Linked DNA regions of Sus scrofa. The protein of the gene in region 2 purifies or fractionates together with the protein of the main gene of each other region. This does not show direct contact. Links are inferred from orthologs where the notes say so. Each region holds a gene or a part of one and is shown on either strand. Other genes may lie near its edges.

Region 1 (6,169 bases), on a different chromosome or scaffold from region 2:
ACTTCCATATGCCACCGGTGTGGAGAAAGAGAAAGAAAGGAAGGAAGGAAGGGAGTTCCCGTTGTGGCGCAGTGGTTGACGAATCCGACTAAGAACCATGAGGTTGTGGGTTCGATCCCTGCCCTTGCTCACTGGGTTAACGATCCGGCGTTGCTGTGAGCTGTGGTGTAGGTTGCAGATGCAGCTCGGATCCTGCGTTGCTGTGGCTCTGGCATAGGCTGGAAGCTACAGCTCTGATTCGACCCCTAGCCTGGGAACCTCCATATGCTGCGGGAGCGGCCCAAAGAAATAGCAAAAAGACAAAAAAAAAAAAAAAAGGAAGGAAGGAAGGAAAGAGAGAAAGAGAAAGAAAGGAAGAAAGAAGGAAAGAAAGAAATGTAGAGTGCTGAAACAACTATATCCAAACACTAATTTAAGAATATAACTAAGAAACAACCTACTCATTTTGCAAGACTGTATGAGACAACTACCGAACAGTTCAAATCATTTTGCCTTATCATTAATTTAAGATAATAGAAAATTTTTTTCTTCCATCAGTAGGTAAGTACAATTCCTTAGGCCCTCAACAGTAGTCTGACTTTACCTAAAAATACAGACTAGAATAGTATGTCCTAAAAAAGTTATTCAGGAAAACTGCTATCTCCATGAACTTTTCTGCTTCTTCTATTCCCACTTTATTTAGAATGAAAATATAACATATATACTCTTAGTCCAGCTGTAATTAAACCATAAAAATTAGTTTCATCAAAAGTTCCCTTAATTAAGGAGTCATAGGCACAGGTGCTAAACTATCAATCATTATTATTTAAAAACCAATTATGCATTGAGAACTATGTCTAGATACTCATGTTGCAACAGAAGAAATGGTGGGGGAAAAACTGTAATTGTAATGTATACATGTAAGGATAACCTGACCCCCTTGCTGTACAGTGGGAAAATAAAATTTAAAAAAAAAAAACAAAAAACAATTATGTCTGCCAGCTTTTTGGTTAAATCAAAGTTCACACAGTACTAAATCAGTACATTATACAGGACATCCTTTAAAAAATCACTTAAAATATTACATACGAAAGGAAAATGTAGACAAATATTAACTTTTGGTGAAGAATGACTCATCAAGAAACAATTATACAGAATTTGTATCTGAAGTCCTCTAATGTAAATAAATTCGTTTTCTATGTATCCACCTAACAACTAGAATTTATAACACCTTGCCATAAGATGATTCCTGAAAATCTACATAGAAAAGAAAAACTCAGATCAGAATTGGAGGGTTAAGAACCAACACTGACTCAACAGACTATCAGAGAACATGTGCATCTAAATTTTTGAAAGCAAAATGTATTATCTGTCAAATTCTTGATTTTAAATTTAGCTGCATATTTTCCTCAACTATGCTTTCAATTTCACTTGCTGCATAACAATTACATGTAAGTCTTACGAAGAAAGAAAATTTTGTTCTTGAAGATGACAATCTTGAGCCAAATTATAATTTATCTTCTTTAGTAAATCATGTTTAAGCTGCACTGAAGAATAAACTTTGTGTTTCAAGATGTCCACGTATATGGTTGATAAATCTAACCATACCTCTGCAGATGTGAAGACAGTTAAATGGGTATATATTTCAGTGATAGCACATGAAAAATGAGGTAAAAGTTGTCTATCGCTCAAGAATTCATAGCAGCATTTAATGAATCATACTTGGTTAGGTGGACTAATTGACTAGGTGGTTTGACTTCAGAAGTATTTTCTAAGATGCTATCCACATATTTGGGAATAATTTCATATGAAAAACCCAAAGAAGAAAAAGAAAAAAACTAAAAATGTTTTGGAAATGTCTTTAAAATTTTAAGATAATTAGTAAAGTCTTTAACTTTCATGTTTGTTTTTCAGGCTCAACAATAGAACAGTTATATAAAAATTACATATAGTTTCCAAATCATCACAATCTCTAAATAGTGTATTAGAAAATTGAAAAACAAAAAACAAAAAAGGTAGGATAGGGCAGTTTTGGAAATACACAAATCGATGATAAACAAGAGTCTAAAACTCCTGATAATCTAGACAAACTTGCCCTTTTTAAGACGACATGAATAAGAGGGGAAAATGGAGCATGCAAAAGAGAAATGATAGAAATTGATTAGAGAAAATTCCATATAATAAAACTTGTAATAAACCTTTCTCTCCAGCCCATCTCTACAATTTCTAAGTGCTTTTTGCATCTACTTGATAATTATACTCCTTAACGCAGTCAACAAAATCTTTATTATCATGTCACTGGTTTCTTTTATATGATTTTTTTCTTATCTCATATTTAAGTGCCTCCCGAACTGGCAAAATGAGATGTGAAATTCAGGGACTTGTGATCCTATTAGTAACAAGATACCCCCCCAAATATCTTCAAAATTAATTTATAAATTTCTGACTGGATGAAGCATACTTCCAAATTTAGCATACCAAGTATGATCATTTGGAAAGCAAACCGTTACGTAACACCTACTTTATGTCCTTCAGTTAATTACGGACCATAAAGAGTGCTTTTTCATTCTTTTTTTTTTTTTTTTTTTTTACGATAAGCACTGCCCATGTTGCAATTTTTTTCTCAAGACTGTCATTTTTCCCAAAGAGAGAAACAATTTTCTTAAATTCCAAATTTCCAAGAATATGATGGCCGATTCTCTAGGAAAAAAAAGAAAAATGGAAAAAGACAGGTAGCTAGATAGACCGACGGACAGAAATTTTAAGACCTATCGCCTCACATAAGCAGTGATCCAGGCTGATAATGACATTTCCAAGATCCTCAGAAACTATATACCATGCTGCCACAAACATCAGATGAGAACTCAGGGATGACACAAATGCCATCTTGCATTTGACGTTGCACTAATACCTATCTTAAACTTAGTTTTTATCTGTTATCCTAATGCATCCTCATGACTACCTTAAAAGATAAGCAAGGGAGAGTGCCGGCCGCCCAGTGCCCCTACGGGACACACAACCTGGTCAAAGGACACACACACCGTTACATCTTCAACTGGAATAACAGAAGCGATGACAAACGCTTCTGGACTCCAGTGAAAGAGTAATATCGCCTAGAGAACCCTAAACTTCAATTTTGTCAGCAGCGTCTCCTCCCCGCAGTTTCGCCCACTCCGTGGCCGGGGGAACCGCCGCAGGGCTGCGGGGAGGCGGAGGAGGGGCCGGGGGCGGAGGAGGGAGCCACCCGGGCGCCGCTCACCTCGCGCACCTGGGCCTGGGCGGAGGGAGCGACGACGTTCTGGGGATACCTCGGCGAACGGACCAGCAGCTCTGACTCACTCACCTGCGGAGCCGATTTCCATTCATGGAGCTGGGGGGAGTGCTTCGAGCGAGAAGGGCGCCCGCCACTGAGGGCAAGGTGGCGGCGCAGGGAGCGACGCGGCGCGACAGGAACCCTCACTCGGCCCGGAGGCGGGGTGGCGACAGCTTCTCCTCAGCAACCGCACTCTGAAAGCTCCCGTCAGGAAGATCGGCCGTCGGGAGGCAGCACGAGACTAGAAGAGAGGAAGAAGCGTGTGGCGAGAAGAGAAGAGCTCCGTACGGAACTTGCGTCGCCCGCGGCCGCTTACGCTCCCACTGCCTCTCCACGACTGCGGCGCCGCCGCCGACCTCCCCGGGGGCCGCCCCCGGAAGCCCGCTGGCGTCAGTTCCGCTGCCCGGGCTCGCCGGACGTCCAAGCCTCGCCTCTCAGCCTAGCCGTGCGGGCGCGGCCGGCGCGGAGGACGCAGGGGAGGTGTCACCGAGCGGGCGCCGCGCCTGGGCGGGGCCTGAGGCGAGCGCGGCCGTGGGTGGCGAGCGCGGCGGGGCCGGCCCTCCCGCTGTCCTCTGCCGGGCGGTGCAGGCCGGAGACAACCCCGAGGGGCTGGACTCCTCCTGCCGCCTTGATGCAGGGCCGTGCTTGTCTGAGACGACGTCTTAGAGGGCGGCGTAGCCAACCTGCACAGGAGCCTCCCGGGAACGTGGTTAGTGCGACGGGCAGGACAAAGATCTGAGGGCCCTGGGCCGATCTCCGGTCTTGGGTAAAAACCCCCTCCTTCTCGAAACCCTCTCACCACGCCCGGTTTGGACCGCCTCACACGCCTCCTCTGCAGGCGGTGAAGTGATCACCACAGTTGATCACTCCGTTTGTAGAGTTGCTTTGACGACCATTTTTTTTTGGGGGGGGGAATGTACACTATAACTCTGTTAGATTAAGAAACATGACTTTACACAAACATCAGCTCGAATAACTTCCATGTTTAAAACTCTTTAATAACGCCTGGTCAGGCTAAGACCCAAAGTCCATTCTGGGGCCAAACCGCCTGTTGTAACGGGGCCCCAGCCTTTCCCCTCAAGTGAGAATCTTCCTCGTCGCTATGCTACAGCTATACTGGTCTGCTTCCAATTCCCGCAAAAGGAAAAGTGCCTAATAGACCTGGAGCGTCTCTGCTTCTGGTTCCCTTGGCAGGAGCCCTCTTCCTCTTCACCCTCACCCCTTCCCCTCAGCTCCCCAACCGCTCTTCATACTTCGACTTCAGACATCTCAGAGGTCTTGCCCGGACGTCTGATCTATGATCAGTGACTTCTGTATATTATTACAGTATTTCCTAATAGCCCATATCCCAATCTGCAGTTTTCATGTACTAGTTTATTATGTGCCGTCTCCCCCACTAGAATGTAAGCTTTATAAGGTTATTAGGACCAGCACATTAGTCTTTCTTGCCTTAAAGAAATATGATACTATTTTATTCAGGATGAGGAATGATTCATGATTTTTCCCTACGTCCCGAAGCATCAGTAATGTTTTAGACTTTTAATAATCAAAATACACTCTTTTTAAAAAAGCTTTGGACAAAGAGGAAAAGGAAAAAATATCCTATCTTTAGTCCAGCCCAATCACTGAGGGGACTTTGATCAGTCACTTGAGCCTCTCTGGGCTTCAGTTTCCTCACAGCTGTGAAGTTAACGAATGCACGTTATGCATCCAGAAAATCCACCCTAAATGTTAGTAAGAATGTATTTACTATAGTTACCATTTTAAAGCACTTATTAGATGCACCTACCATATAGTAAACACTTTATAAGTTGACTTTTATAACTTTACCTTTTACAAAAAATGCTCTCCCCAATTTTAAAATATCAAATGTTACTAGATGAAACACTGTATCTTAAAAGTTACTTTGAATCCTTGACTAAAGGGATTCCACAGCAGTTGACAGGGGTAAATATCAACTTTTGCAAGGGTCTATCACACCCTCAACCCCCTCAACAGGTTCCCTAAATGACTGTAGGCTTCTTAGGTGTCTCCCAGAATAGACATAGTGACGATGAGGACCCCAAAGGTAAGCCTTATTTGATGACATGGATGAAGCAGAATTTGGACCTTCTAATTCAATCCAATTTAATAAATGTCAATGATGCCTTCCCATTTACTGTTGCTACTCAGGATCCCCCATCTCTAAGCCCGTGTGAAAGGCTCATGAATTGTAATGTCAGGAAATAGGAATATTTCAGATATATACAGATATATCTCCTATGCATAGGAAGTTACAGTATCAGGAAATAGGAAGGCAAAAAAGTTTGATTCTTCCAAAAGCAAAGTTGTGAGAGCTCTCCTCTGAGCACATGCACATCATAGTTTTGGATTCCCAAGTGAGTCTTAAGGACATAAGAGCAGGGTCTCTTTGTATCTTAAATGACAAAGCCCCAGTGCCTAGAACAGTGCCACTGCTTGTTACACAGCAGCATTTTATAAATATCTTGTGGAACAGGTAGATGGATGAATAGGTGAGTGGGCTTCACAGAGGGGCTCAGGAAGCAGGCTAAAACTCTGCCCTCATCCATTGTGATATGGTTGTTCTCAGAAGGGAGAACTATAAAATAGTGTAGAAATCTCAGGGGCACAGAAATCAGTGCCCTCTGAAAGTTGTGTTCCTAACTGTGCTAGATAAACATCACTGGATGAGGAAAGCAACTGGATAGAATCCTCTCTCCTCTTGCATGGGCTGAGGCTAGCCAACATGACACTTGAGATCTCTTCTCCTACACAAGCAATTTTTACATGGCAGAAAGCTACTTTGTACTGCAGCAGAACACAATATAAAACATACTGGCTTTAGGGACAGTCAGAGCTGACACTGAAGGCCCTCTG
Region 2 (6,305 bases):
TTCCCGCTCTGGGCATTTGTAAGAAGTTCCTACATCCTTATGATAAATTCTTTCCTTTTGGTTAAGCTGTTTCAGGTTGGTTTCCGTTACATGCAAACAGAGAGTCTTAAACAAAGGTATATTTATATTCTGGCTTGTTCTACAAAAAAATAAAACAAATTGTGGAAATAATCAGGGCAAAGGGAAAATAAAAATTAGCCCACAGAAAATGCATACCACATGGTACTGAACCGTTGCTTCACACGGGCTGAAATATTAGCTCTAAGATTTCAGGTGATCCAAACAAAGTGTGAAACACTATCCCTCACAAGATTTTATGTCTCTGAATTTAAAACAAACCAGCAACTGGAGCATGAATAGATAGGCCATCGGAACAAAACAGTCTCGAAGTGAACTCTTCAACAAATGGTCAAGAAACGGCAAACTATGTAGCCATCTGGAAAAAAAAAATTTGGATTCTTACCTCACCCCATATACTGAATCAGTTCCAAATGGATCAATGCTTAATTGCAAAAGACTGGCTGTCTAAATGTCTGTCAATAGAGAACTGCTTAAACAAATTATGGGCACATCCCTGCAATAAAATATGGGGACAGAATAAAACAGCAAGTTTTGTATATATTGCCACAGACACATATTCTCGATGTATTAAGTTAAAAAAAGCAAGGTATAGTAAATACGTATGGCAGCCTATCCTATTTGTAAACGAGGACTGTCTTGGCTTGTATTGCATAAAAAATTCTCTAGGGGAATGAGCAAGAAACAGTGGTTACCTGTTTGGAGCATGGGCACAGGTGTAGGGCATTCTTTTTACCGTACACCTTTCTATGTTTTCTGACTAACGAACCATATGTATGTACGACTTACTTTAAAAATTCAAAACACCCTGATGAAAATCAGACAAACTTGCTGATGGAGAAGCTCAGCTAGTCTTGACAGACTGAGAGGATAGCAGGAGGGCTGAGAATTTTACCTGCCCACCCACTTCCGCTGCTAGTGACCTCCAGTTACCTATTCCCATCCTCGGCTGTCATCCTTCTCATAAAAGATCTCTCCAAAAAGCCTTTACTTAACATTACTAGGCAGGTCTGTTGCCCCCAGTGCAATATAAGTGCTTGATATATAAAAACATGTTATTTTTACGGAGGTCTGCCCAGAACATTCTGACTACTGCCTAATTTTACCCACAAACATGCTTTTATGTGAAATTTCTAGCCAATTCACAGTAACGACGTGCTCAAAAAGTGAGCACTGCAGTGACTGAATACACCAGCCCTGAAGCCAGACTGCCTGGGTTCAAACCTCAGTTGTTCACTTAATAGCGGCTTCCTTGCTGGAGGTTATCCACCTTCTTCTTCTGTTAAAACGGGGGGCATTTACAGCATAAAAATCACATAAAAATCAAACCTTACAACAGCCTGCCCAACAGCAATATAGTGCGAGTCACATACGACTTTAAACACTTTCTATTTCTAGTACATACACCAAAAAAATAAAAGCAAACGAAACCATTATTTATCCCCATATACCAAAAACACTATCACTTCAACTTGTCATCAATATCATACCCGTTAGGGAGAGGTTCTGCATTCTCTTTTTGGGTAAAGAATACATACATCTGAGTATCAGCTATCATATCTCCACTGGGACTAGCCATACTTTTAAGTGCTCAATATAGCAGGTGCTAAGTGCTAATTCTTAGAAGCGTGGCTGCTATTACCATACCTCATCTGGAGTAAGCCACTGTACCACGTGAGTCATCTGGAAGACGGGCCTACATTTTGGGATAAAGTCATAGGATTTGCCTTTAGCCAGTCACTTCCTGGACCTCCACGTTTTAACTCACAGCCACAAAACACACGGTTCCGATCTAAGCAAATGAACAGTTCGCATAAATGGGGCCGCTGCCCCCTCTCATGTGCAGGTTATCTCAGTTGCGAGACGGGGGTGAGGGTGGGATGAGTCGTCACCCCAAATGCGGGGGGCCCAGCACCACTAACCCCGGGGGGGGAAAAGCAGGCGAATGGGAAAGTCCTTTAAAAAGGGGAAGGGCTGGTAAAAGGAGCGCCGAGCCCTTCGGAGAACAATTACGGCCGTGGGGCAGGGCCACGTTCCGGGGATGTGGGTGCCAGAAGGGGCAACAATGGAGGCGGGCGAATTCCGCGAGCCAGCAGATTCTGCCGAGCCAAGCGAGCGTCCGCAGCCCCGGCCCGCGGGCCCTTGCAGGGCCGCGAAAGTGCCGAGCCGCAGGCGGTGGAACGTCCGGGTTGGGTCTGGGCTCTGGGCCGCAAACGCCGCCTGGGCCTCCACCGCGCGAGTCCACTGTCTCCCGGCTCCTGAGTGGCTGGGGGGCCGGGGTTAACCTTTCACCGCCGCGCTCTGTCCAATCACAGGCTCGCTCTCATGCCGGCGCGGGGCGAGCGGAGCGTGGGGGCGCGGAGGGGGCGGTGCGGGCGCGGGTGGGATTCTCCAAGCTGCTGTGCGCCGTTGCCGCGGGCCTTGCGCGGGCTGCGGGCGAGCCGGCCGCTGCGCAGTCTCCGCAGCCGCCGGCGGGAGGGGTCGAGGCGGAGGCGCGGCGCGGCGCAGGCTGCTCCAGGCCCAGGTGAATGGAGTAACCTGACAGCGGGGACGAGGCGACGGCGAGCGGGAGGAAATGGCGGCGGCGGCGGCGGCGCCGGGCGGCACCGGGAGGCCTGGGTTGTGACGCGCGCGCCGAAGCGGGGTCCGATGGTTCTCGAAGGCCCGCGGCGCCCCGTGCTGCAGGTGAGGCGTGCTCCCGCGGAGCCGCTTTGTGTCCAGGGCGGGGAGCGGCTCCGCCCGGCCCCGCGCCCGCCTCTGCGCGGAGGCCCGCGTGGGCGCCCGGGCCTGGGCCCCGCGGTGGGGGGACCGGCGCGGGCAGATGGCGCGGCCTCGCCTGGTCCTGGACGGCGCGGCCTGCGGGGCTGGCGTCCACCCCGCCGGGCTCTGCGCCTCCCCGACCCCGGCGCCCGTCCCGAGTCGGCGCTTCGGAGGGACTTTGTGCGGTCGCCCAGGCACCGGATAGGGACGCGGGCGCCTCCGCTGCGGGCGTGGGGCCGGTCCTCGCCGCTCGCCCCGGGCCCGCGGAGAGCGGGGCTTTGACAGGTCCTGTTAACGCACGCGGCAGTGGTGCGGGATCAGCAGCCCCGTCCCGGGAGCATCCTCGGGACCCGGTGGTGGCGGTGGCTGCGCTGGGCCTCCTCGATGGACACCTTCGAGGGGGCCAGGAGGGAAGGAAGCCGGGCCGTCTGTGCTGGCAGGAAAGTGCGAGCCTCTGGGGCGCGCCCTTCGAGAATTGTTCGTGTTTACTGGCAGGTGACCAGATCTGGGTCCCCAGGGGCCGGTGACCGAGGCCATCTTTCCCCCCACCCCTCCTCTCCAGTGTTTTTGTGCCAGATCGCCTGGACCCTGCAAAGGAGCCTTTCTTAAGGGTTTTTAAATCTGCTTTGGGAAATCAGTGTATGTTTCAAGTTAGCATAGTAGATTTTTTTGTAGATTGTCCAGAAGAGCTGAGCTGCCTGGTGGCTTTGCCCGCGGTACAGAGCTAACTAACCACTTAATGTATCTTTAATAGCTTGAAGATTTGCAAAAACCGAGACGAGCGGAGAGTCCTTGCTGTAGAGTTCAACCTGTGCTTTTGGGAGGAAAAGTCCTGCTGAAAGGGGCACATTACTGACTCATCTAAGTCTGAAGTATTGCGACTATCACGATTTAAAAGCGTTCATCTGATTCAACAGTATTACTCTGGAGTCTGTGCTTCTTGCGGTGCTTTGGCCTTTGACTTTTCTGAGTCGTCACAATCCTGATTTTCAGTTGTCTTCTTGTTGCTTGTTTTTTCAAGTGCAGCACAGTGAGTGGAAAAGGGCACAAGTCAGGAGTTAAGTAACTTGGAAATTATTTTTTTTAATGTGCTTTAAATAAAAGGCTAACCACATTGAAAGAGTATTGGCATAAACATTAAATTTTCTAAATAAAAATACCCATCTTTGCCAAGAGCTCCAATAATTTGTTAGAGGATGAATGACGGGACAAGATTCTGAATGTGCTGCTAGTGAATAGTAATTTTAGTATTAGTATCTTTGGGAAGTAGGTTCTGGAATAATCAGTTTATTTTGCAAAGCATTGTCTTTAAAGCTTGCTGTCCCTCTGGGGCATATGTATATTGTAAGTAATATATGAAACATATATGGTTACTTCAGAACTTCATTTCAGGACATATTTTATAAAACTATAGGTTAGAAACACTGCAGAGATTGCCTTTAATATGTCACTATGGATACTTAAATGGCAATGAGGGATTTATTCAAGGCATCAAAATGCTGTTTTAAGAAAAGATGTCCACGTTTCATTTGGGGAGCAAAGCCCTCCTTTTTCTGCAGTAAGGGCTTGCTTTCCTTTTTATGCTGTCTTCTCATCATTAAAGGCTAGTTCTGCTTCTTGTATTATGCCTGTGGGTCTGTGTGTGAGTTGTATGTGAAGTGGTTTTGCCATTGCTGAATTGTATTGTCTTGGTTTTAGAAGACATTTTTATCTTGATGTGGCTCATGATCCTAATTTGACAGTGATTTTGTGGTGGTGTGCAGTGGGTAGTACTTTTAAAGTACTCCTGTCTTCAAGAAGGCTGACCTTTAAGGCACTGAGATATTTATTCCCTGCCGCTCTGGGACAGATGGAGGAGATACTTGTTTCATTTGAGAAAGTAGGTATTTCATGGACATTCAACTTAATGTTGTCTTATTTTATTTATTTATTTTTTTTGTCTTTTTTTTTGCTATTTCTTGGGCCGCTCCCGAGGCATATGGAGGTTCCCAGGCTAGGGGTCCAATCGGAGCTATAGCCACCGGCCTACGCCAGAGCCACAGCAACGTGGGATCCGAGCCGTGTCTGCAACCTACACCACAGCTCACGGCAACGCCAGATCGTTAACCCACTGAGCAAGGGCAGGGACCGAACCCACAACCTCATGGTTCCTAGTGGGATTCGTTAACCACTGCGCCACGACGGGAACTCCATGTTGTCTTATTTTACATGCAAGGAAGCTAAGACTTAGAGGGTTCTGACTCTAGAAGTGACAGAGCCAGGATTGGATCCTGCTCTGATTTCACAGTCTTTACGTGTGGGCGCTTATCCTTGCGTTGCATTGCATCGCTGCTGCAAGTGGACTTGAGGTGAAAAACCTGCATAAGTTGCACGTAAGTCCTTAGTTAATACTTGCTGAATGAATTGAAACTGTCTCACCTTAAGTGTCCAGGTGACCTTTGATTATCTGAATTACTTAACATTTGCCTCCTTTTTTGTGGTAAAATACAACAAAAGGTACCATCTTAACCATTTTTAAGTGTTAATAATGCAGTGCTGTGGCATTAAGTGCATTCACATTGTTCTGCAGCCATCATCACCATTCATCTTCCTCAACTGAGACTGTCCCCGCTCAGCGTTAACTCCCCATTCCACCATCCTCCCCGGCCCAGGCCACCATCGTTCTGTTCTCTGTCTCTATGAATCTGACGGCTCTTGGAACCTAACGTAAGCAGAATCAAAACAACATTGTCCTTTTGTGACTTAACATTGCATCTTCCAGAATCATGCATCTTGTAGCCTGTGTCAGAATTTCCTGCTTTTTCAAGGCTGAGTAATATTTCATCATACATGGATGCACCCCATTTTGCTTCTCCATTCATTCTTCGATGGATTCTTGTGTTGCTTGTGCGTTTTGGCTTTGTAAACAATGCTGCTGTGAACAGAGGTGTACAGATTATCTGTTTGAATCCCAGCTTTCACTTCTTGGGGATTTGTTTCTTGATCATCAAGCAAGAAGTGGTCAGATTGTTTCTTAATCGCCAGAACACTAGAATAGACTCCGAATTTATTGCAATATGAGTTTTCTCAGGGTAGTTCCGGATAGTTCTACTTTCCCACAAATAGCAACTATTTGTTAATAGAAGACTTTAATCTTTTTGAGGCCAAAGACTTAGCTGTTTTTAATGATCTCCGTTTCCATCCGTATTAGCAAGTAGCTGAATTCATTCGGTTGATCCATCGTGGCGCCCTCGTTGTGCTCTGTTGGATGCCAGAGGGAGGTACTGGTCAGGTCTGTGCTTAACTTGGGTAAAGAGTAAGTTGGAGCCGAGTGGTTTCCCCTTGTGCTCTGGCACGTTCGTGAGTGCAGCACGCTCTCAAAGCCCCGGGGATGTATGTGTTTGATTGGCTCCTCTGAGGATGGGTTCAAGAGGGCCTTCTAACAGACAGGTGTTTGAGAGGACTCTGAGCCTGAGGGACGGAGTGTG
Region 3 (6,328 bases), on a different chromosome or scaffold from region 2:
AATGGAGGCCCAGCCTAGGGGGAAGAGGCCTACAGGAATCAGCTACCTGGGGAAGTGAAAGTCTAATGACTAGCACCTGGCAGCCTACCCCAGGAAGAGCTGGAGGGAAATTGTACACAAGCCACAGACAGACATACACACATAGAGGAACACACTTAATACACACCCAAACACACACTTAGGCCTGGATAGATTACCTTCATACACATATCCCTCACCACCCTAGATTTTGATTTCTTCAAAGATATAAAGGCTGTATCTGCCTTGGTCACTGCTGAATTTCCAGTGCCAGGCATATAGGAGGGGTCCAATATACAGATATCAAATGAATTAACAAACAGATCCAAAGACACATCACAAAGAACACACACGCATGCACAGCACACAAACACCTGCAAACTGCTCAGAAACAATTACAAATCCTGCACAGGACAAACCTGACCCTGGTGGAAGTAGCGGGTAAGAGACACCCTTCCCCTCCCTATGTTCTAATATTCCATTCACCTCCATAGCCTCCCAGGCTGAATAATTGTTTGGAGCCTTGGGAGAAACTCATCCCCTAGAGCTAGGGGCTGGGTAGAAATGATGGGGGATGGGACAGACACTCAAGTCTCAAAGCCTTCTCTTCCCCAGAACTACACACCAGACTTAGCCTTAGGCACCCTCTACTCCTAGAAGGCTTGGGGAAAACAGGGAGCCCCCACCTTCACCTTCATCCCCAAAATAGGGAAGGCAGGAGGAATAGAGAACCCCTTCCTCACCAGATCCCCCTGCAAGGCTTTCAAAGTTCCCCTCTAACCCCACCCTGCCCCCAGCTTTTAGTCTGAGAAAGGGAGACACTTCCCTTCAGACCCAGACAGGGACAGACGGCCACTTTGTGATGCAGATGAGGGCCCCAGCACAGAGGACAAAGCTTGGGCCTTGGGGGAAAGGGGCGGGGCCCTTCCCTGCAGACAAAAGCAAGGAGGGAGGGGCTATGAAAAGGACACTCCCCCTCCCCCATCCCCAACCAGCCGGGAGAAGGAAAAGTATCAGAGCTGAAAGGCTTGGCTCAGGGATTCCTTCCCTGCAGTTCTGAGGCCCACATACCTCCCAAGGAGCTAGACTGTCCATTCAAAAGACAAACTCAAGGCTAGGTTAGCTGTCTGATAAGCAAAGACTAAGAGGCCAATCTCACCAAAAAGTATCACACACTGAGTACATCAAATTATTAAACATTCACATATGTGTTAACCATTTACGTTCACACTAGAATTTGATTTAATTCAAAAAATAAACATGTACTTCTGTCAGGGCCTCCACAGATAAATCAGACACCACCTCTACCCTGGGAGTTCCCAGTCCAGTATATGTGCTTAAAACACACTTAAGCACAGAAGGCACATCTGGACATAAGCCCAATGAAGCCAGCAACAATACTTTGCTTTGTGTATCATATCCTCCGACCTCCAAGAAAATCATCTGGGCCTAGGAAGGAGGCAGTTATGGAAATCCCTCCACTCACAGCTTTCAGAATAAATTCCAATTACCAGGCAAGTAAAGCCTGCCCCATTAAGGTACAGCCAACTCCAGATACCAGGCTCCAGTTTCTTCCCTATAAGCTTATTTATTTACAACAACAAAGTCAAATTTTTCATCACTCCAGAGTCCATTAGGCATTCATCATTAGATAAATGATCAACAAGATCATTCACAGTCTGGAATGAGTGCCAGCTCCCAGCAATCCATCTGGACCTCTGTGACCCATTCCTACCCTAGTCCATAGGTTGTCGCAAGTTGTCTCCAGCCCAGAAAACTAGGAGAGTTCCCTGAACGGAGAAAGGGGCCTAAGGGAAGAAGGAAGTAGTTTTCTCAAGTCAGTTGCTCCCAGCATTCCAGCTTTGTTTTTGTCTTGGGGAAAGTAGTCACTAAGTACTTAGAAGTCACTGAATAGATGACTTGAATGTGCTGGTAGGAGCTATTTCCTTGAGGGGAATAGCTGTGGTATAAAAGACAAAGATTCTTCAACCAGAAATGAAATTCATGTCCCCAGTGGAAATCCTATTCCCACCCCCAGATCAAATGGAAGGAAGTGGTGAGACAAGACCTAAAGGTCCATACTCCTCCCATCAAAGGTCTCCTATCTAGGACACAGGAGGTGTCTCCACCCTACAGCCCATCCAAGGACTCTGGTCTTCTTGGGGCAGCTCTGCCTCAGTTTCTCTTCTACTCTTACCTACTTTTCTCCTGGTTGTGAGTAACGAGACATTAAAGCTATGATCTGAGACTCATCAGGGTGAAGGCTATAAACTTCCCCCTACTCCAAACAACTTATTTGCGGCAAAAGGCTAGCTTGGCAACCTGTAATAACATGGCCCTAGGAGTTTCTGGGGAGTAGAGAGAGGAAAAGAAAAGATACCCAGTGGGGGATAGCAGCCATAAAAACATTAAGGTATAGAAAGATTAGGCTGTCACCTCTGGAGACATTTCAATAGAGAGGTCATTATACTTGGATTAAAAGATCCCAACTCTGTTCACTACTGGACCAGAAACATGCAAACCGGAAAGACAACCCCTTCTAGGCAAACCTGGCCCTGACTTCGGTTCCTAAGTAACCAATACATTTTCTAAGGCCTGTCTTCAGGAAGGACCCGTCTCTAACCTAAAACATTGCTTCTATCTCAGTCTTTCCTCATCCCAGTAGCAGAATAAGGCACTTTGGCAGTTTCCTTCAATCCATTCTTGGCAAACTGTGACTGAAGGTTTTCAGGGCCAAGTGCAAGAGCCTCAGGATGGGGAAGGGGCCCATTTCCATTTGCGCTAAGCCAGCATGACCTAAGAGAGAATACACCCCATCCTCGCGCTCCTTTTTCCAAGCCAAACCTGGCACGATTGGGGGTGGGGGGGTTCGGGCGGCCACGCCCCCACCACATCAGGCAGCCCCTTCCAGCTGCCACCTCCGCGCATGCTCCGGCGCCTCTTCTCCAGCTCCCCAGACTCAAGGGGGGGAATCCCGGGGCTGGATCCCCACCCACCGCCCCCTGACCCTCGCCCCCGCGTTAGGCCCGGCTGGGGCGGAGCTCACAGCCCAGATCTGGCGCCTTCTCCCGAAAAGACACAAACCCAACCCAGCCTAGCCGGGATGAACCCCCGCCCCCGGCATGCGGCAGCTCAGGGCCCATCTGTGTCGACCCCCTCCTCTCCTGAACACCTGGAGCCCGCCCCCTGCCACCTGCCGTGCCTCTCCCTAGGCCTCCCGGGATCTCTAGGACTCCTTACGTGTGTTCAGGCCCTTCTCTCAGATCACTTCCCACCTCCAGGAGTGCATACAGTCTCTGATAAATGGCCCTCGTCTCAGAGCTCCCTTCACAAGGTTTCCCCCGGAACTGCACACAGCCCCCTTCAAACTGGGCCCCCCATCTCTTAAGAGCCCCTTTCTTCACTCAGGAAACCTTTCCTCACTCGGAAATCCTGCCCTTTACGCGGAAGTACCCTGGTCCTTGGAGCATGCACCGTCCCCCCTTCCCGGGGGCCCTTACCTGCTCCCGAGGGTCCCGCTTCCATCCCATATACCCGTGCGGAGGTCAGGCGGCCCAGAGACTGTGGAGTCCAGTGTGAGGGGTCTAGATACCCCGCACTCTAGCTGCTCAGGCTCCCGGGCCGGGCTCGGCTCCCCCCGCCAAGCCCGGCCGCTCGCGCCGCCACCGCCGCAGCCTCCGTTGCCGCCGCCGCCGCGGAGCCTGCAGCAGCTCCCCCTGCGAGCGCCCGGCCAGCTGCCAGTGCGCAGGCGCGACCGCCAGGCCCAGGGGGCGGACGGGAACGAGTCAAACGGGGCGCTCCGACGGCAACAAAGGCCAATGGAGAGGGGCGGGGGCACCGGGGACCGGAGGCAGCGGCCCCTGGCGGTCACCCGTCGCCATGCAGCCCGGCGGGAGGGCTCCGGTGGAGGCGCCGCGGCACCGCGCGGTAGCGTTAAGTGGGGCGGGGCGGGAGGACACCCCTGCAGCAGCCTCCGGCCCTGTCTTTTCCCCAAATGGGTCCCTCCAAGCCCATACACAGCCTTCCCCCTTCGCACAGAGCCACGCGTGCATATCCACCACGTTCCCGGGCCACCCTCACACACTCTGAGAGACCCATCACCCAGGGGCCCTGCCTCCCACCTCTCCTCCCAATCACCCTCATCCTTCAAGCTTCGGCTGCAAAGCGACTGCCTCCGCGAAGCCTTTCTCCGTCCCCAGTCACTGAACTCACTGACGCCACCCTCTCTTCCAGGCCAAGTGCTGGGCGCTGAGACCACAGATGTGAAAGAGACCTTGCCTACCCTGGAAGATGTCACATTCTCAAACTTAAGTGCAGCTACCGAGCACTACCTGCGGGACCTGGGAAGCACCTGTCTCCACTTTCTCATCTACAGCTCACGCCTGAACTCAGTCAATCCGCTTCTGCCCCTCACCACGCCACTTAAAACACTTTTTGTGTCTAAATTCAAAGGATAATTTTCAGTCCCTATTTCTCTGCGGCATATGACACTGTGCCTCTCCTTCCTTTTTGAGCCTTCCACTTGGCTTCAGCATTTTCTGAGGTCTTCTATTGTTTATGTCCTCTTCAGTCTTCTTCAAGGACCCTTCCCCCCTGCTTTCAACGCATTAAGTAACAGTGTTCATCATGGTTCCACACCCAGCTCTTCCTTCTCATTCCACTTTCCACTTTCCCCTTAAAAGTGTCATTCACTCTTATGGCTCAACTATCCTTCCAAATCTCTATTTCCAACCATGTCTCAGACTCATATTTCCAAATGTCTGCTGGACAGCTCCACCTGGATAAACCAGCCCTTCAAATTTAGAGTCCCAAACCAAACTCTCTTTCCCCTACAAATGTGCCTGTCCTGTACCTCCTGTCTCTGCAAAGGGCACCTTCACCCCAGAAATGATCCTTGCTTCTTCACCCATACAGCCAGCTGTTTACCAAGACCTGACTTGTTTACTTCCTGAACTGCTCTCATATGTCGTCCTTGCCATTCTGATGGTTCCTTGTGCTGGTGCAGACCCTTATCATGTCTTGCCAAAAGTACGTTACCTTGCTAGTTTCACAGATTCTGGGAACATTACTCCCATTCAGTCCCCTTCAACTGATAGGTGGCAAGAGACCCAGTTCAAACATAACTTTTCCATATTTTCATTCATATGCATTCATCCGCATGTATTGTTTGACACCTACTTTCCACTAGATGCTGTGCAGAAGGCTAGAAACTTAACAGAGACCATACCAGTCACTATCCATTGGAGGAGATTAATTTCTGACACTTTTCATAGTATCCTTTGCTTTTCTCTGAAGAGTTTCACAAACAGCAGGCATCAGCTTTGTTAAAACACTGAATGCTGAGCACCACCTCCAGAATTTATGATTCAGGAGGTCTTAGGTGGGACACAAAGAATATGGATTTCTAATATGTTTTCAGATGAGGCTGATGCTGCTGATCTGGGGACATTTTGAGAACTAGTGCTCCAACAATATAAAGTTAAGAACAAAGGCTCTAGAATCACACTGTTCTGGTTTCAACCCAGGTGCTGCCATTTACTAGCTGTGTTAACACCGAGCAAATGACTTAATTTTTCTGTGTCTTAATTTTCTCCTCCCCCGTTTCAAAGGGTGAAAATAGTACCTACCTCACTGGGCTGTTATTAATACATATAAAAGGAAAAACTTAGAACAGTACCTAAAAGAATGCAAGCAAAGTATTGGCTGCTACCATAATTACTGTCTGCCTCTCGTACTACATTCTAAATTCTTTAAGAACAAGGACCATATCACATACATTTCTGTCCCCCTTTAGTGCCTGACACAAGATGTGCCTAGGTTGATCAGTAAATCTGGGTTCATCTGAATCAAACAGATGGCATCAAAACATTCTCAGAAAACCAAGACCAGTGCCTTAGTACAACTAAGATGGAAGCTCAGCATTCCTCAAGAAGAGTCTGAATCCCCTGTTCTAAATACCAAGCCTCACAGTTAAGTTTGTGGAAAGGCACAGATCACTATTCTGATCTACCTCCAAAGTGGCTGCTGGTGTCAAGCCTGACCCTGGCCTCTCTGTGGAGTGTCTCTATCACCAGGGATTTCACTCTTGGCTAGGTAAAGTGGTAGCATATAAAGGAATTCCAGATAACATTTGTTTTTTGTTTTATGGCCGCACCTGTGGCATAGGGAAGTTCCCCGGCTAGAGGTTGAATCAGAGCTACACCACATCAACACCGGATCTGAGCTCCATCTGCAACCTATGCCTTATCAGGCATCAACACCGAATCCTTAACCCACTGAGCAAGCCTAGGGATCAAACCCACATCCTCAC
Region 4 (6,213 bases), on a different chromosome or scaffold from region 2:
ATCTGTGTATATGTGGACCCACATCACTCAAAACCATGCTATTCAAGGGTCAACTGTAGTAGAGAAGTAAATGGAGTCTCTGAGCTAAAGAGTATATAGCCTAGTGCCTGAGATTTTTGTCCATAAAAAGAGACCTGAAATATGGAGGGTTACGGCAGCCCCAAGTGCAGGTTGTAGGGTAGGCTACAAAAGGCACAGCTCCCTCCCATACTCTTGGTAAGGATTCAGGAAGGTTTCATGAAGGAGGAGATAACTAAACAAGGACTTGAAAGATTAGTAAAAGTTAGGTGAAGAAAGCTGGGGGATTAGGGAGGGCCGGTGGGCAGAAAAAAGGGAACCTGCAAAAGCTAAGAGGCAGCATGGCGTGTGGTACTCTCAAGCCCCACATCGCTGGGGACAGTTAAGAGCTTGAGGGAAGGAATTTTGAGATAAAAGGCTAGAGAGTTGAAGGGTAGGAGAGGTCAAAGAGTGATCTCCTAAATTTGTACCTCTCAAACTTCAGAATCTGCCTGGGAATTTCGTTAGAAGGCATGTTCTGATCTAGTAGGTCTAGGCTGGGGTCTGATATTCTGCACTCCCTTCAAATACTCAGATGAAATCAATGCTGCTGTTGTTATTCACACTTTGAGAAGTAAGATTGTCAGTCACATTAAGAAATCTGTAATCATCCAGAGGGTGATGTGAAAAACAGAATGGATTTTAAGAAGAGGAAGTATATGAAAAGATATGAATGCCAGAAAGAACACTATGGTTTTTATGTGGAAAATGGACACAAGACTAGAAGCTAAACGAGCAGCTTTGAGACTGTAACTATAATCCAAGTGGCTTGGACAGTAGCAATGTGAAGATGAGAGAAGCAGGCAGATTCAAGATATATTTAGGGGGTGTTCCCGTTGTGGCTCAGTGGTTAATGAATCCATGAGGTTGCGGGTTTGATCCCTGTCCTTGTTCAGTGGGTTAAGGATCTGGCGTTGCCGTGAGCTGTGGTGTAGGCTGCAGATGCAGCACAGATCTGGCGTTGCTGTGACTCTGGTGTAGGCTGGCAACTACAGATCTGATTCAACCCCTATCCTGGGAACCTGCATATGCCATGGGCATGGCCCTAAAAAGCCAAAAAAAAAAAAAAAGAGAGATATTTAGGAAGTAGGGTTTGGTGGCAGACTGGGAAACAAGAGGAGGGAAGGGAAAGGATCAAGAAGATGAAACTCAAATTTCTACTTCGAGCAAATGGGTGATGAAAGGTGCTTCTATTGTGCTGGGGAGTGCAGGGGAAATGGGTTTGAAAGAGAAGATGGATTCATTTTGAGTCAGTGAGAGACTGAGGTGTCTTTGGGTCATCCAAGTGAAAATGTCTAGCAAGCACAGGCTGCTACACTGTTCTGTACCTGGGCCTGAGCTGAAGACAGATTTCAGAATTATCAGCCTTTAGGTAGTATTTGAAGCCATAGACAGATAAGCTTACACAGGAAGACAGGGCAGTGTGAGAAGAGTAGGAGGGCTGAGCAGTTGCCATAGGTTGTTAACCTCGGGGGGGGGGGGGGGGGAGGGGGAGAGCTACTTTTTCTTGAATTTTCATCCAACATTTACAAATAGACCAGCTAAAGCAGTAATGCAATGCTTATTCTATGATTCCTGTGAGGAATCTTCTAGCTAAAATCTAGCTACAATCCACCTGCCCCACACAGACAAAAAAGATCCTGAATTTTTTTTTTTAACGTGGCTTCAATTGAAAATAACGGGGACACAAACAAATGATGCCTTCAGATTACCAGATGGTGGAACTTCAGCCTTCCTGTTGAATATTTTCCTTGGCATTCTTCCAAATTAAATTTAGTAATCAATATTTTTTGTGTTTGCAATTAAATACATAAGAAATAAAATGTCTACAGGTGCAAATGGGCTACTTCAGTTATTATTTGCTCTAGCTCAATGACCATAGGTGAATCTGAATCTTGAAACTTCACTACTATGTGACCTTGGGCATGTTTCTTATAATCTCTCTGAACAGATTTCCTCAACTGTAAAAAAAAAAAAGGGAGATAACATCTTATTTAAAAAACTTGTACAGTGTCAAGAACTAGAAACTGCCACACAACATTGTAGTTGCTTGTTGCTTGCTTAGATAGAGTCCAGCATGGTACAATGGGTCCAAAGTGCCAAATGAGTCCAAACAGAGGGGAGCAGCTCAGAAAATTCTGAGGTCATGCCCTCTGCCATCTGCTATAACCTAAGAAACTTGACACTATCTACTAATTCAGCTATGCCTGCTCCAAGAATCTTTCCCGCTTCTACCTAATTCTTGGAAGAACCCTAGGAGGGTTCCAGGGTATGTTTCTGAGCTTCTCTTAGTATCTAGGGAAGAGAAAATTAGGGAATCAGAGAAGTTGAAACGTCCCAATGATCCGGGAAAGGTCCCAGTTTCAAGAGCCTGCTCCTCAATGATGTCTCTAGGACACTTTTCGGGAACAGAGAAGCAATACCAGCTCTTGACAGCCAACCTACAGGGTCATCAGGGTTAACTGTGCATACAGACCTGTGCAGGTTATGTCACCAACGGTTACTCTGAAGGTGAAAGTGGGCACGTGTATTTGCACATCGGATCTTTCACATTCATAAACCGGGATGTTCTTGGTCTTCATGCCGTATTCATGTAATACCTGAATTGGTGTTTTCCCCGGCTTAGCTGTAATCATCTTCCCCAAACTGCAAAAACCAGAAAAAGCTGTGCTTTGCACGTCAAAACGGGGAGGGAAATAGAAGCATTGAGACTAGTTTTAACAGCCCCTAATGGTGACGCCGAAGGCACCGAAGCTGCCCGTCGGCCAGGGCCAGACTGGAGAGGCTTACCAAGCCTCCGGACCCCGCCGCGGCGGGCAGAGGGCAGGGGGACGGAGGTCTTTAGGGAGATAACTTGAATGCGGGTAGAAGGGAGTAGCAAGGAAATCGGGAGGCACGCACGGGAGTTGCAATCTCCAGTACCAAGCCGACAAAACCCACCGGGGTTGCCGCGTGCTACCTCCGCCCACCCCGCGCAGCCCGAGGTCACAGGAGGGGCGGGGCTGGGCCCTGCTGGAGACCCCGGCCAGCGCGCCAAGAGGGCGGGGCCGAGAGCTAGCCTCCGCTCCAGCAGCAGCAGCCCGGACGCGAGCGCCAGGAAGGGGCTTTACCCAGAATGCCGCTGGATAGCCGGCTCCCCCGCCCCCTCCTCTCCTGCCCACCACTCCTGGCCTTTCCCGGCTCGGTCCCGACCGCCAGGGCACTGACCTGAAGGTCCCGCTGTCCTCGCGCTCCAGCGGCGGAGCCGCAGCGCGATGCCTGCTTTGAGACATGGTGAGAAGGGACGGTTTTCCAGCGGGAGGAAGAGCAGTGCGGAGCTACGTTCTCGCTCACGGGTCGGCCGGTCCCCGAGAGAAGCGATCCGGCGCCGACGCCGCCACCTCCTCCCCTCCTCCGACACCCCTTCTCCTCCCCTCTTGCGTCCCTCCGGGGGACGGGCGGGGGTGGAGCCTCCGTGCAAGAGCACGGTTCCCCGTTCTCCGTTCCCGGCCACGCCCCCTGCTGCCCCAGCTCTGGCGGAGCTCCTCGCCAGCCCCGCCCACCTGCTCTCCAGGCTCTCTAGTGCCCTCCCCGCCCTCCCCGCAGCCCCAGCAGTCCTCAGCTGCAGACGGTGCCCCGCCTTCTGCCCAGCGGCTTGAGGAGACCGCAGTTCTGTGTCCTTAAAAGGAGGCTGTTTCCTGCCTAGAGAGGCTAGTCCGCGGGCTTGCAAGCTTCAGTCTGTGAGGCCTGCAGCTCAGCCTTTTTTTTGAAGGGGTGGGTGGGAGGGGGGGAAGAGGACGATTGCGTCACTTTAAGAAAATGATTTCAAAATTTCAAATGCAAAATTGCCAGAGAGCCTGCCCCGGTCTGGGCCCGAAACGTGAGACTTGCAGTATATCGGCTCCTGAAGGCTGCGGGTGGGCTCGTCCTGTCGCTGAAGCCTGCCATTAGGTGATCGTGGAGACGTAGGGAGACCCACTTTTTTCACCCGGGGTGGGCTTCATTGTCTTCGTCGACTGCTGAGTGCTAGGATAGCGGGTCCCAGCAAGACACCTTAGGTGTAAACGAAGGCTTTTCTTTGAACCCAATTCCAATTAACTGCTGCTTCTGCACACCTGTGTTGCTTGTAATGGCGTTTGCCTGGGATGCACCACCTTTGATGGGACTCAGCTACATGAGATGTCCTATCGCTGCTAGGGGTTTTGCTTGCAGAAATAACCCCTTGTACTTTCTCGTTCTGCTGGATTGCCTGGCACAATACTGATCACACGAAGAGACATTTTTGGAAACTTTTGTTAACTCTCGAACCCTGGATACTTGAAAGCAAAGAAAAAAAATCCGGATCTAATCAAAGTGATTTATATTACTTGAGGCTTGAAACAAGTCTGTTTTTTCTTCCCTCCCTCTTCCCTCTATAGATGTATATCTATTACTATCCATTGTTATGTTTTAATGAATGTCTTATTGAAGGTACCATATAGCCACTACTTCAGAATATGTTAATATCCACATAGCTATGGCAATACATAATTCCAGGACTCAGATTTGTTTCTAAAATTTATTTTTAGCCGTAAAATTCCTAAAAAACAAGCCTAGGAGTTCCCGTCGTGGCGCAGTGGTTAACGAATCCGACTAGGAACCATGAGGTTGCGGGTTCGGTCCCTGCCTTTGCTCAGTGGGTTAAGGATCGGCGTTGCCGTGAGCTGTGGTATAGGTTGCAGATGCGGCTTGGATCTCGCGTTGCTGTGGCTCTGGCGTAGGCCGGTGGCTACAGCTCCGATTCAACCCCTAGCCTGGGAACCTCCATATGCCGCGGGAGCGGCCCAAAGAAATAGCAGAAAGAGAAAACAAACAAACAAACAAACAAAAAAGACAAGCCTAAACTTTATATACTTCTCTAAAGGTTGAGTAACCGAGATAATTATGAAACAAAAATAAATGCAGCAGGACCCTATGTGTCATCTCCAGCATAAGAAATCCCTAGCTCAGAGTTTATTCAGTTATATGTAATATGACTTAGTGTTTTATAAAGTTCTGCATACATTTGTTTCTGTATATTCTGCGAATTTATTTTTATATTAATCACTTGGTTTCATAAACGTACAAGGAAAAATGAATGAAATGTTCAAAGAATGAACTGTGTAGCATAAGGATTTGTAAGAGTACTTTTCTGTTGCCAAAATTATTGTAATGGACTTGTGAAGGAATTCCCTTTGGACTAGATCCATTGTTGGTGGTGTCCAGGGCTCATGTTAGTGGCTAAATTGCATTGTTCCCCATAGGGCCATATGCTTCATTAAAACCTGGCAAATCACTATCACCTGTGACCCTCATCAAGGACATTGGTGATATTTAAAAATTACTAAGTTTTCTGTGTATATTTTAGTGTTATAGACTACTATTCCAAATTAGACTTGCTTTTAGTATATCATTTTACACAGTTAATCTATAATTCATTACCTGAGCACACCAGGGGAGGCAGTGTTGTAAATTGTAGACTGGTAAGCCCCTTGGTGAAACCATGCTTTGTATTTTTAACATGAATAATTATATTTAAAATCAGCAAAACTTAGTTTTATGCCTGATTTTCTTTGAAAATATGTATTTGTTATCTGAGGATTGCAGTTTATGACATTTTGATGCTTTATTAATATGTTTGCTGCTGCTACCAAGAGCTTTGTCAAGCAAGTTGGAGATGGAGGGAGATTAGTTCCTGTTCCAAGCCTCAGTGAGGCTGACAAATACCAACCTCTAAGTCTGGTGGTAAAAAAGAAGCGATGTTTTCTGTTTCCTAGATATAAATTTACCTCAACACCTTTTACACTGAAAGATATTCTTCTAGGAGACAGAGAAATTTCAGCTGGTAAGTTTAAATGTCTATTTTGGAGTGGCATTTTTATATAATTCATAATATAGCTCTTTCAGCTATATTATCAGTAATCTAAAATACATTGTATATGCTGCCTATGTTTGTAATATTTACATTTTCATTGATAAAGGTAACTCATTTTTAATAATATTAAGATCAGCAATGTCTAAAGTTTATATAGTATCAAATCTCTTATTGGTTGAATAATATCAAATGTATTTTTAAGATTATTTATTGTATAATTTAATTTCAGTTCTTTTATAACTTGATTTAATCAAATCAGCTTAGGATATGGCATAATATTTTTC

What was found. Proteins that work in one complex are often made in the same cells at the same time.
Region 1: the proteins of DICER1 (region 2) and AGO3 purify together in Homo sapiens (affinity purification with mass spectrometry; 3 studies listed by BioGRID and IntAct, with this or other methods). This does not show direct contact. The link is inferred for Sus scrofa from reciprocal best matches to the Homo sapiens genes DICER1 and AGO3.
Region 3: the proteins of DICER1 (region 2) and AGO1 purify together in Homo sapiens (co-immunoprecipitation; 7 studies listed by BioGRID and IntAct, with this or other methods). This does not show direct contact. The link is inferred for Sus scrofa from reciprocal best matches to the Homo sapiens genes DICER1 and AGO1.
Region 4: the proteins of DICER1 (region 2) and PRKRA purify together in Homo sapiens (co-immunoprecipitation; 4 studies listed by BioGRID and IntAct, with this or other methods). This does not show direct contact. The link is inferred for Sus scrofa from reciprocal best matches to the Homo sapiens genes DICER1 and PRKRA.

What each region holds. Positions count from the first base shown.
Region 1 is NC_010448.4:92,079,137-92,085,305, reverse strand, and holds the start of AGO3 (protein argonaute-3), read right to left. Parts: upstream 3,544-6,169; 5' UTR 3,342-3,543; coding exon of another isoform or gene 3,323-3,341; intron 1-3,322.
Region 2 is NC_010449.5:116,432,618-116,438,922, reverse strand, and holds the start of DICER1 (endoribonuclease Dicer), read left to right. Parts: upstream 1-2,502; 5' UTR 2,503-2,602; exon of another isoform or gene 2,603-2,763; intron 2,764-6,305. UniProt on the Homo sapiens protein: Double-stranded RNA (dsRNA) endoribonuclease playing a central role in short dsRNA-mediated post-transcriptional gene silencing.
Region 3 is NC_010448.4:92,035,431-92,041,758, reverse strand, and holds the start of AGO1 (protein argonaute-1), read right to left. Parts: upstream 3,544-6,328; coding exon 3,519-3,543; coding exon of another isoform or gene 3,338-3,518; intron 3,259-3,337; coding exon of another isoform or gene 2,945-3,258; intron 1-2,944. Other genes in the region: vegetative cell wall protein gp1-like, read left to right, coding at 2,945-3,258, 3,338-3,945, 4,252-4,475.
Region 4 is NC_010457.5:84,153,054-84,159,266, forward strand, and holds the start of PRKRA (interferon-inducible double-stranded RNA-dependent protein kinase activator A), read right to left. Parts: upstream 3,544-6,213; 5' UTR 3,330-3,543; coding exon 3,265-3,329; intron 2,704-3,264; coding exon 2,534-2,703; intron 1-2,533. UniProt on the Homo sapiens protein: Activates EIF2AK2/PKR in the absence of double-stranded RNA (dsRNA), leading to phosphorylation of EIF2S1/EFI2-alpha and inhibition of translation and induction of apoptosis.